Callithrix jacchus: one gene and its partners. The protein of the gene in region 1 interacts with the protein of each later gene in a biochemical or structural test. Links are inferred from orthologs where the notes say so. Each region holds a gene or a part of one and is shown on either strand. Other genes may lie near its edges.

The links.
Region 2: the proteins of PIAS3 (region 1) and MITF form a complex in vitro, tested with the Homo sapiens proteins (2 studies listed by BioGRID). The link is inferred for Callithrix jacchus from reciprocal best matches to the Homo sapiens genes PIAS3 and MITF.
Region 3: the proteins of PIAS3 (region 1) and RELA form a complex in vitro, tested with the Homo sapiens proteins (2 studies listed by BioGRID, with this or other methods). The link is inferred for Callithrix jacchus from reciprocal best matches to the Homo sapiens genes PIAS3 and RELA.

The regions. Positions count from the first base shown.
Region 1 is NC_133519.1:8,291,592-8,295,800, reverse strand, and holds the start of PIAS3 (E3 SUMO-protein ligase PIAS3), read left to right. Parts: upstream 1-1,397; 5' UTR 1,398-1,488; coding exon 1,489-1,512; intron 1,513-3,488; coding exon 3,489-3,906; intron 3,907-4,062; coding exon 4,063-4,147; intron 4,148-4,209. UniProt on the Homo sapiens protein: Functions as an E3-type small ubiquitin-like modifier (SUMO) ligase, stabilizing the interaction between UBE2I and the substrate, and as a SUMO-tethering factor.
Region 2 is NC_133516.1:51,562,040-51,566,146, forward strand, and holds the start of MITF (microphthalmia-associated transcription factor), read left to right. Parts: upstream 1-1,283; 5' UTR 1,284-1,421; coding exon 1,422-1,525; intron 1,526-2,649; exon of another isoform or gene 2,650-2,748; intron 2,749-4,107. UniProt on the Homo sapiens protein: Transcription factor that acts as a master regulator of melanocyte survival and differentiation as well as melanosome biogenesis.
Region 3 is NC_133511.1:122,744,924-122,748,448, reverse strand, and holds part of RELA (transcription factor p65), read left to right. Parts: intron 1-2,067; coding exon 2,068-2,148; intron 2,149-2,243; coding exon 2,244-2,318; intron 2,319-2,467; coding exon of another isoform or gene 2,468-2,484; exon of another isoform or gene 2,485-2,696; intron 2,697-3,133; coding exon 3,134-3,525. UniProt on the Homo sapiens protein: NF-kappa-B is a pleiotropic transcription factor present in almost all cell types and is the endpoint of a series of signal transduction events that are initiated by a vast array of stimuli related to many biological processes such as inflammation, immunity, differentiation, cell growth, tumorigenesis and apoptosis.

The DNA of each region.
Region 1 (4,209 bases):
CTGACCTCAGGTGATCCACCCGTCTCAGCCTCCCAAAGTGCTGGGATTACAGGCGTGAGCCACCGCGCCTGGCCCAGAAACACATTTAATCTGGGGCCTGCATATGAGTGATCAGCTTGGTTGGTTTGGGGCCTCTGGAGGGTCCAAGGCTTTGGAGGAAGGAGAGTGGGTAGGTAGTTCAGAGAGGGTCAGAAAGATCCCTTTCGTGGGTAAGTATTCACCTTCAGCTACACCAAGGGTATGGGGACTCTGGTGGAGGTATTGTGCATGTGTATCTGCAGTACTTACTGCTAGATACGCTTTGGATTCACCGGCCCAGGCTTTGCCCTAGGAAGGGACAGTTGTCTTTTGAAGGAAGACTGCTTTATACGGTCAGACACCTGGATCACACCGCCGTAACAGCAGCATCCCACCACCCCAATCCCATACATTAGCGTGAGGGGTCACAGAGGGAGTGAGAATGATGGGATCCAAGAATCTCTTTTCTCCAGATCCACTCACACCAGGAGTTAATCGCTCCAGAGCCAGGCTCTGAGTCCCTCCCTCTCTCACCCGAGCTCCGCCCCGCTCCCCTCTCCGCGGTCCTGGCGGGCTTCCCTTGGAGGGGGCGGCCCCAGCCCGAGTGCTAGGCCGGGCGGAGCTCCGGCCCGGGCGGAGCCGCGGCCGCTGCGTCCGGCTCCGGACCGAACTTCTGCCGAGCGGACAGCAGCAGCGGCGCGGAGCCCCTTGCCCCCACCTCTCCAGCCCGCCCTCTGAGCCTCCCGAGCCCTCTCTCCATTCCCCCCAGCTGTGCTGGTAAGTCCCGCTCCCCGCACCAAACTTTTCCGCTGCGGAGCTGAGGTCCTGCGATGGGACCGCGAGCTGCATTGTGGTTGGTGTGTGGGGGAGGAGGAGTGGGAACAACTGAGCGTGGCCGTCTTGAACCGAATGCCGACTCCACGGCTTCCCCACGACGGATCGGCGCTCGCTGACTTCCCGGGCTGGAAGAACTCTGGATCGTAGTTGCTTAAACTTTACGTAGAGCTGGAGACGAGGGTTTGCGCTCCAACTTCGCTGCCCCCTCCCCCATTTCTCTCAGGTCTAGCAGTTCCGGATACTTTCCCTCCATCTTTCAAGGATCTTTGGCTCCCTAAAAGCTCGTCCCCTCCCAACTCTGCTGTGGCAAAGCCACCCTCCACCGGGCACTTCGGGCCCGCCTCCTTCTCCGTTGCCTTCGGGGACCCCGCGATCTTCGGGGCCTTACGCTGCCTCGGAGGCCACCCGTCCTGCCAACCCGCCGCAGACGTGTAGCCGCTGGGTCCGCTGTGGAGGGAGGGGCTCAGGCTGGGGCTAGTCCGAAGCCCGGCGGGCGGGGCCGGGAAGGGGAGGTGTAGGGGGCCGGACGGGGCGGAGCAGGCGGCATTTGCGGCCGGCGCCGGGGTGGAGAGTTGTGCGCCGGTCCCTGGGCCTGAGCTCCGGCTCCGGCTGGGGCGCCTGCGATGTCTCAAGATGGCGGAGCTGGGCGAATTAAAGGTACCGGCCCCCTCCCCCACCCCCATCTGGCCTGAGCCCGGCGGTGCGCCGTGTCCGGGAAGCGACCGGGACTGGGTGCCGGGGCTCGGGTGGGCGCCGGCGACGTGGCAGGGGCGGGCGGCTGAGGATGGGAGAGAAGTGGCTGCGAGCGAGGAAGGGGCTGCGGCGGGCTCCGGGGGCGGGGCTGCGGGGCAGATGTAGGGGTGGGGCCGAGGGGAATTGCAGCTGCTGGGGGCTGAGGCGCAGGGGGCGGGGACGAGGGGCAGCAGGCGGATTTAGTAGCAGGGGCAGTTGTTGGGGTAGGGCCAGGGGGAAAAGCTGCTGTAGAGGCATCCGGGCGAGTCCATCGAGGCCGAGAGATGCGACAGCAGGGGGCAGATGCAAGGATGGGACCGTGGGGCAGATGTGGGGGGGGCTCCGAGGGAAAGGCAGCCGAGAGGATAGGGGCTTTGGGGGTGCTCTCGGGATCCGAGCTTTGGGAAATACCAGTAGGCGGCTGAGATGTAGGGGGCGGGGCTGTGCGGGCCGACACCGAGGGGTGGGGCAGAAGCATCCTGGAGGCGCGGAGGAAGGTGCTGCCTTAGTGAATCGCGGTGTTTGGGCGGCGGCAGAGGCACGTGAAACTGTGGGATAGAAAGGAGGGAAGTTACAGGGAAAGCTAATGGGGAAAAAAAGACAGGACCGAGGAGATAAGGATGGGGAGAAAGAGGAGCAAGTTTCTCATCACGTTCCACAAAAGGGGCCCAAGACAAAGCCTCCTATGAGAAGAATTGTGTAGGACCAGCATGCCCTGCCCACGACATGACCTCCTGGAGATTCACAGAAGGGAGTCCCCTAAGGAGAGCGCTCCCCTTCTGCCTCACAGAGTTTTGAGGATGACCACGTGTGAGGACATCTGATAAAACCTTAAACCACTGGCTTCATCCCCCTGCCTCCTGGCTTGCTTCTTCTGCCCTTTGCAATGAAGCTATGGTCCTGGGCAGGCTGGAGGTCTAGCCACTGGGCCCAGTTACCTTCAGAGAATTTGCGATTCTGTGCCCTGACTCAGAGGCTTTTTCTTCAGCCAGCCAGGGCCTCTGTTTAGAGCTCTGCCCTCTCCTCTTCCACTCCTACAGGGGGGCTGTAGGTTGTAGCGGGGTGTTACTTTCTCTATGTAGGAGAGAAGCGGGATAATGGTTCCTGACAGACAGAGAGTTATCAGGCAGGATACCTGGACTCAGCGGTTTACTGTTAACAGCCCCCCACCCCCAGACCCAAGTTTTGGTCCTGTTTCCCTTCCAGAAAAATAGGACTAAGTCTCACAGAAGGGGCGGTTATATAAATGATTCCAAGAAAGGATCTGGGGGAGTTATGAGCATTGAACCCTGACCTGAAAATCCTGGCCACAAAAGCTTCAGAGGCTTGGGGGAAATAGCCTAGGCAAATTAAGGTGATTGGGGGGTGGGCTGAAGGGCACAATCCTCCAGCCACCTGGCCCCTTTCTTCCCCATGGGTGAGTCTGGCGTGAATTGTCTCCTCTCCCTGGTTCTCCCTGTCTCCTGTCCTCTTCCCAGGAGGCTGGGATGGGTTTGAGAGTCTGAGAAAGGGCAAGAGAGAAGATAAGCAGCTTAAAGGACAGTCCAGACTAGAGGCAGGGATGGTGGTGGGATGCTGCAGTGGACTCGGAGGTGTGCCTGAGGATGGCTTCTTGTCTGCATTCCCTGCCCCACTCTGGCTGCTTGCAGGCCTGGGAAGATAGTGTTGTTCAAGCTCTGGCGGGTGGTGATCTGCTGACCTTTGGGTTGCTAAAGTGGGGCTGAGATGTCCCTTTGGATAGGTCGACCACCTGGCAGTAATCCACTAGCTTAAAGCATCATCTTCCCCATCAGGGAAGGTGGAGGGAAAAAGGCACTGCCCAACTGGTAGCTCAGCCCATGTCTTGGCAGGACAGGCCTGTGCGAGGTAGGATTCTCAGGCTCCTGTGTTCTTCTCCACAGCACATGGTGATGAGTTTCCGGGTGTCTGAGCTCCAGGTGCTTCTTGGCTTTGCTGGCCGGAACAAGAGTGGACGGAAGCACGAGCTCCTGGCCAAGGCCCTGCACCTCCTGAAGTCCAGCTGTGCCCCTAGTGTCCAGATGAAGATCAAAGAGCTTTACCGACGTCGCTTTCCCCGGAAGGCCCTGGGGCCCTCTGATCTCTCCCTGCTCTCTTTGCCCCCTGGCACCTCTCCTGTAGGCTCCCCTGGCCCTCTAGCTCCCATTCCCCCAACCCTGTTGGCCCCTGGCACCCTGCTGGGCCCCAAGCGTGAGGTGGACATGCACCCCCCTCTGCCCCAGCCTGTGCACCCTGATGTCACCATGAAACCATTGCCCTTCTATGAGGTCTACGGGGAGCTCATCCGGCCCACCACCCTTGGTATGGCTCTTTGTGGTCCCTTAGTCTTCTGGACTCCATGGCTGTTCCCCAAACATTTCAGAGGCTTTAGTACTGTGGGATTGGCGGCATGGATGGGGGTGATTTCTGTGGCTGCCTGTGCATGGGCTTGGAATAACTGCCATTTTGTGTCCTCAGCATCCACTTCCAGCCAGCGGTTTGAGGAAGCACACTTTACCTTTGCCCTCACACCCCAGCAAGTGCAGCAGATTCTTACATCCAGGTACATTTCTTTCAGTCTTCCTGCCTCATCCCTGGAGGGTTACCCCTGGGCTCTCCTTTCTC
Region 2 (4,107 bases), on another chromosome or scaffold:
GGATAGTCATTTAGTTTATTAAATCTAAAAGGCCAAACACCAAGATGAGATGCTAATCTGAAAGGAATAACTTCAAGACCTAATAAAGAACGAAGACTGAACAGGGTTTTATAGATTGCAAATGACTTTCTCTTACATTTGCCCTTGCAACATCTTCTAAAACTGGTTTGCCAATCTCTTCTTTTATGGATGAAGAAATGGAGGCTTCTAGGAACCAAGTGACATGCTAAGGATTGCACAGCTCTTCTTAGAAGCACCAGCAATTTGAACTCTGAGTCTTATACCTTTAAATGCCACCGTAACTCTATACTGCCTTCCTGATGCCTCAAAACACTTTTAAAAAGAAGAAACACAATCTATTTACTGGAACTAATCAGAGGGAAGGACTAGAAGTACAAATGAGCCACAAAGGAGAGTTTATAAAATTCTCTTCCCTAAGTGAGTGCCAGGAAGCTCGATAAGGGGTTGACACTTTTACAGTTCACTTGCACATCTTCACTCCTGAAATATTAGGACAATCTCATTTGAACTCCTAGTCAACTGGGAAATTAAAAGCAGAGAGCGACAACACTGTTCTGTAAGTTTGTGCCTTTTAAAATTAACCGATCTTTCAATTGCTGCTTTAGATTAGAAGTGGCTACTTGGATAAAGGGGAGGAAAGGGTCATTTAACTGATGAACCGTATTGTAGAAGTCCAGACTTAGTTCTAGAAAAGGAACGCACAAGAACAATTTCTCCAATAACGTTTTCATTACAAAGCGAAGGAAAGTTCTTCCTCGTTGTTCCAATCCGAGGACAAGTTGATACGTCGCAGCAGCCCAGGGAAGCATGCGGGCTGATAGGAAGTCTTTTTATTTTAAGACAGGCTCGAATACTAAAACTTTCTAGTGCCAAAACCCTTCACTATCTTATTTTTTAAATAAGCATACGGCGTGCCCTCGCAGATGTCTGAGCTGAGAGGTGGGGGTGACGGTAGGAGAGCAGGCTGTGTCCGTTCTTATTCATATTAAATAGCCAAGTCTGTACCCTTGAAGCAAGTGGGGAGAGAGGAGGGAGAGGAGCTGCTGACATTGAAAATGAATCCAAACAGGAGTTGCTCTAGCGGTGTCCACCACGTTGCTTCTCCCCCGTCTGGCCTTCTGGGAGTTGTAGTTTTTGTGGGAGTGACTCCCCAGGCCAGCCGGGAATACCCCGCCCGGATCGAACTACAGATCCCAGGCGGCGCTCGGCCGTCGGCCCCTCCCTCCCGGGTGCCAGTGTAAACTCCCCGCTCGTTGGCGGGCGGCCGCGAGCCGGCGAGCGGGCAGAGCTCTGCACTGCGCGGGGGCGCACGACTCGGGGGACCCAGGCCCAGCTACCTTGCCTCCGCCCCCGGGCTCTGTTCTCACTTTTGAGCTGTGGAAGGACGGGAAGCGGGAGCCATGCAGTCGGAATCGGGGATAGTGCCGGATTTCGAAGTAGGAGAGGAGTTTCATGAAGAGCCCAAAACCTATTACGAACTCAAAAGTCAACCTCTGAAGAGCAGGTGAGTGGTGACAGCTGGGCAGAGGCGCGACGGGCGGCTGGGGGGCGCTGCGTCTGCCACTCCGGGGCGAGGAGAGCGGATCGTGGGAGCTCTGGGACAAGGACCCAGTGCCCTTGCCCCGGGGCGGAGGGCGAACTGCCCCTCGCAGTTGGGGGCCGCGCTCGCCCGGCCCAAGTGCGCTTCTAGGAGGCTCGGTTGGAGCGCACTTCGGGGGGCGCTGCGGTAGCCGGGGGCGGAGCGTCCCGGCTCGGGGACCCTCGGCAGGGGATGCCAGCTGCTGAGACTGAGTGGGGGCTGGGGAGCGACCTGGCGCGCTGTGGGGGAGGAGGAGCGCCTGGCCGGGACGCTGCTGTCCCGACGAGACGGGAGAGAAAGAGTTCTAGTGAACCCCCTTTGTGAAGATCCCAGCGGGTTGAGGGCGTGGACAGGGAGAGCTTTGGATGGATTGAGATGCAATATTGGAGGGAAGCAGTTAGTTTGATTGTAGTCACCTCTTGGGAGTCCAGTCCCTGTGGGGAAATCGGCCCTTGGCCGCTTGCAGGTGAGGGTTCTCTGGGCTCCGCCTCTCACCTCCAGACCGCTCCACGCGGGCGCGGGAGGGGCGAGTGCAGCGGTGGGTGTGTCCCCTAGTCCAGGTTAAACTCCCTGTAAATAGAGTCGCATTCAAAACCAGGCCTTCCCTGAAGAGGGGAAATGAGCCTTGGTCTTGGGGGATACTGGGACTGTACCTTGCTTGACAGAGACACGTGTTTAATTCGCTGGGGTCTTCAAAAACTTTTTAGGAGAGGAGTAAAGACATCCACTGCTCCGACGCCCCATCTCTTCTACTGCCCACTTCCTTTGCGCCAGCTTTTTTGCTGCCTCCATTGTCACTTGTCTGTCAAAATGTATTGGGTATCTTCCGTTCTCTCTGTCCGGCGGCCACTCTGGACTCGTCGCACTTCTCATTTACAGTGTTTACTAAAAGGGACATGGTCAGTGGAGGTTGGAATAGCAGAGAAGGGTTTATTTCCATCCTGCTAAGCTGTGAGCTAGGATAAGGCTATCATTGGAAGCATCCAGCAGGACTTCTGCACCCGGCTGTACCTTCCTGCCCTGCCCTTCGCTGTGGGTGGGGCCTGGGTGAATGGGCCTGGCTGGCAGAGTGGGAGAAGGTCCTGAAATGAGGGTGAGTGAAGAAGGGCAACCGAATGAAGAGCCAGGTGGTGTAATCTTGGCCTCTGGTGAGCACTGGGCTGGTTCCTTTTCTAGCGGAAAGTGCAACCAGGTTTATTTCCTTCAGGGCTGTGGCAGGACTCTTCATCCCACTTGGGAAAGAAAATCTGGGAACAGCGGACCCACTGACTGCCACTGCTGAAGAAGCCTCTTTGTAGATGCTTCACGGCAGATTGGAAGGAGACCGCCTAAGCAGTTTGACCTATAAAACCAGCCTTTAGTTGGTGGTTTTTCCTCATAATGGCCGTTTTGTGTGTGAGCATAGATTGTGTGTGTTGGGGGCTGGGGGTTTTGGGTAATATTGTGTGAAGGGTATTGTTGGTTATGCTCATCAGGGCTTTATCTGCATTCGGCTGAAGGGACCAGTGTTTTACTGGGCAGTCTCTGCTTCTGCTTCTATAAGCAAATGCTTACATGGCCAGAATGAGGGAATGAGTGTGTGTGTGTGGAATCCTGAAAGAAATGAATTAACTGGACTGTTTGGAACATTTCTGATGGTGGCTGATACATAACATTAAATCAGTTTGAGAGAGCGAGGAAAATACCATCTGGAAAAACCCAAATGAGTGCCGTGAAACTCATGTTGAACGATTTGGGCCTGTTCTTTTTCAGAGTCAGCAAAAAATGACTTGCAAGGGTGAACATCCTCAGTAGTTGGCTAGCAGGCACGTGTCAGGAAAATTGTGGGTATGTGGGAAGAAATGGCTTCACACGTTAATGCTAGAAACAGGTGTAGGCCTGAACCAGCAGGGAAAGGAAGGCTAAATTAAAAAAAGTTGTTGTAAAACTTGTATATGGAGCACACACATGCTCTTTGAAATAAACCAGTTAAATAAACTCTGTGAATAAATATATGGAGTTGGCGACATTTCTCTGTACTGTTTCCCACAGTTGTCTAAGGTATTGTCCTCGACATCTGTTGTGTGACTTAAAAGGGCTACACATTGTTCTGGGCCTCTCTCATTGCTTTTTGTCTTATGTCTTTGCTGGGGCACCTCATTTCTTATAAGTCTTTATTGGAAAAAGTTGAAATTGATATGTTAAGACTGCTGTAGCCATTCTGCCTATCAACTGTCTTCTCTGGATTGTCCCTTAGAGTTGAAAATATGTCCAGAATCTGCCTGCTTCTTACCAACTCCTCTGCTACCACTTTGGTCCAAGCCACCATCAGCTCTTGCCTGGATTATTGCAGTAGTCTTTTAAACTGCAATAACCACATTTAGTGAATTTTCAGTATAGTAGCTACAATGTTCCTGTTAAAACTGATTTTCAATAGGAGGTGATTTTGCCCCTGAGGTCATTTGACAGTGTCTGGAGACATTTGTGATTGTTACAATGGAAGGGATCATTACCAATCTCTGGTAGGT
Region 3 (3,525 bases), on another chromosome or scaffold:
TAGGCCGGGTGTGGTGGCTCAAGCCTGTAATCCCAGCACTTTGGGAGGCCGAGGCAGGTGGATCACAAGGTTGAGAGATCGAGACTATCCTGGTCAACATGGTGAAACGCCGTCTCTACTAAAAATACAAAAAATTAGCTGGGCACGGTGGTGCGTGCCTGTAATCCCAGCTACTCAGGAGGCTGAGGCAGGAGAATTGCCTGAACCCAGGAGGCGGAGGTTGCAGTGAGCCGAGATCGCGCCATTGCACTCCAGCCTGGGTAACAAGAGTGAAACTCTGTCTCAAAAAAAAAAAAAAAGAGAGAGAGATTTTCTGGTTTGTATACATGGTTGTGTCCCTATCACTCTTTCACTAGGATGCCAACTTTTTGGGAGCAGACACCTTGTGTGCTTACTCATGGCCACATCCCCAGTGTCTAGAAGGGAGGCTGGCACATAGTAGGTGCTTGATAAATATGTGTCAAGTTAGTGGTGGGGAGTGAGAAAAAAAGATAGTCATTCCAAGGTTTCTAGCTTTGGTGACAGGGCAGATAGATGGTCAGGGAATATAGGAGAAAGAACCCAGTTTTTGAGGGATGATGAAATTGTCTTTGAATTAATGGAATTGAGGTGCTTTGGTGCTACTGAAGTACCATGGTACTTAGGAAAACAGTTCTGAGGCTGGGCATGGTGGCCAGCACTTTGGGAGGCCGAGAAGGATGAATCATGAGGTCAGGAGTTCAAGAACAGCCTGGCCAAGATGGTGAAACCCCATCTCTACTAAAAATACAAAAATTACTAAAAATAAATAAATAATACAAAAATTAGCTGGGCATGGTAGCACACACCTGTAATCCCAGCTACCCAGGAGGCTGAGCCAGAGAACTGCTTAAACCTGGGAGGAGTAGATTGCAGTGGGCCAAGATTGTGCCACTGCAGTCCAGCCTGGGCGACGGAGCGAGACTCGGTTTCAAAAAAAAAAAGAGAAGAAAAACAGTTCAGAAAGCTCCAACTAAATTATCAAACCATTAGAGGTAAGAATAAGAGTCTTGGAGAGAGATCCAAGATGGCTGATTACTAGCAGCTCAGGCATGTAGCTCCCAGTGAAAGTGCAGAGAACGAGAGGACACCACACTTTCAGACGAATTTTTGTTGCTCACGGACCAGGAGATTCCCAGCGGAGGAGCCCCACAAGTCACCAGCACGACTCTTGTGGCTGGCGCGGTGGTTTTGCCGGCGCCCCGGCACAGTGGTTCTTGGTGCAGAGTAAACAGGACTGGGTCCCCTTTTGGTCGACGTTTGGAGCTCCGGGAAGGCAGAGTCGCCTATTCAGCTGATTGAAAAAGGGACTCAAGAAGGAAGCCAGACCGGAGATTCCCGGGCAGAAAAGCACCACAAATCTTAACACCTTAGCCAGCGCAGTGGGTTGCTCAGATTCCGGCGCTGGGAATCAACAAGTTGGATGTCCACTCAGAGACCTAATTTGAAAGTCGGTTATTACAAAGACGACAGGTGGATAAATTTACAATGATGGGAAATTCCTTCCTGAAATTCTGCACTGTTAAGCACCATTATCGGCATGAAAGAGGTTTTTAATACCTACTTTTAGATTGCATTCCAGCCTGGGCAATAGAGCAAGACTCCTGTTCTCTCTCCCCCTTTCTCTTTATCTTTCTTTCTTTTAAAAAAAAAGTCTCTGCTGAAGTCATAAATCCTAAGTTGTGCCTCAGCTGCCTCAGAATGCCAAGAAATTGTCACCAGGCCTGGCTGGAGGCTTGCAGTAAGCCATGACATGAGCAATGCAGGAAGGCATGAGCTGGAAGCTGGTACCCCCCAGGGCTCCTCTTTCCCCAGAGCATGGCCCCTGTACTTGGCCTCACCATGTGGCCTTAGAGGGGCAGATTCAGCCAACAGAGGCCTTTTCCAAAAGCCGTGGGATTCTCAGAACAGCTGAGTGTCACACATCCCTTCTCATTGTCAAAGACAGGTTTTGGGAAAGCCCTGCTCCTTGTTTTTCTCGGGGGCCTTTGAGAGCACTGGGGGCCCACCTGAAGTGAGTGCGCCCCCTTCTCCCCCTTACTTTCCCAGATGATCGCCACCGGATTGAGGAGAAACGCAAAAGGACATATGAGACCTTCAAGAGTATCATGAAGAAGAGTCCTTTCAATGGTGAGAGGAGACCGGGAAGGCCAGAGAGGAAGGCGGGGGGGGGGCAGGGAGGGGACACCCCAGGGCTGAGAACTGACCCAGCCCTTGCCCTACAGGACCCACTGACCCCCGGCCTCCACCCCGGCGCATTGCTGTGCCTTCGCGCAGTTCAGCTTCCATCCCCAAGCCAGGTAAGGATTTCCTTTTGTCCCACTGGAGCGACAGGTTCAGCTCTATTCAGCCCATGGCTGAAATGCCTTCTGGAAGGGAGATGAGCAGAGGAACTGACCTGAGCAACAGATGTCTGAAGCCAGCTCTCCTTTGGGCCTATGTTTCTCAGGGGGTGGGGTCTGGTGACCTCCGTCAGAGTCACCTGAGAAGCAGTGGAGATGCAGATTCCTGGGCCCTATACAGACCTACTGAATCGGAGGCTTTGGGAGGATGGTGCAGGAATCAGCGGCTTCCCGGGATGCTAATGCACACCGAAGCCTGGGAACCACAGTGCCACTTACATCCTATATTGGACATCTTGGGATTCAGAAGTTAAAAATACAGAATCTCTGCTCTCACCTCTCAGTTGAATTAGTGGGAAAAATCACCTCTAAATTAGCAAGATGTATATGCTGGTGTGGGGCTCAAAAAAGACTGATGAACTGTCCACTTAAAGCCACTACTCACTTGGTGCTCCATGGGCTTGTTGCCTCTTGGGACTTGGTTTTTCAGCTGTAAACTGAGGAGACTAGCTTATCCCTCAAAGTGTCCCTTCCTCTAAAAGGCTGGGAGAGCTTCATGGGCTTGAATAGTCAGGGAGGACTCCAGGATGGAGATGTGGCTAGAACTGGACCCTACAGGCGGGGTCAGATTGGGTAAGAGGAAGGAGGTAGGGTATTGGCAGTGACTCCCTAGAAAGATTGAGCCTAAGCATCATCAAGAGGGGCTGGAGTATAGAGGATGGGTTGGATCTCTGGGGCGTTCTCTGACCCTTGCCTCTCTGTCTCTCCTCCAGCCCCTCAGCCCTATCCCTTTTCGCCATCCCTGAGCACCATCAACTATGATGAGTTTCCCACCATGGTGTTTCCTTCTGAGCAGATAAGCCAGGCCTCAGCCTTGGCCCTAGCCCCTCCCCAAGTCCTGCCGCAAGCTCCAGCCCCAGCCCCTGCCCCTGCCCCTGCCCCTGCCCCACCCATGGTACCAGCTCTGGCCCAGGCCCCAGCCCCTGGCCCAGTCCTAGCCCCAGGCCCTCCTCATGCTATGGCCCCACCTGCCCCCAAGCCCACGCAGGCTGGGGAAGGAACACTATCAGAGGCCCTGCTGCAGCTGCAGTTTGATGATGAAGACCTGGGGGCCTTGCTTGGCAACAGCACAGATCCAGCTGTGTTCACAGACCTGGCATCCGTC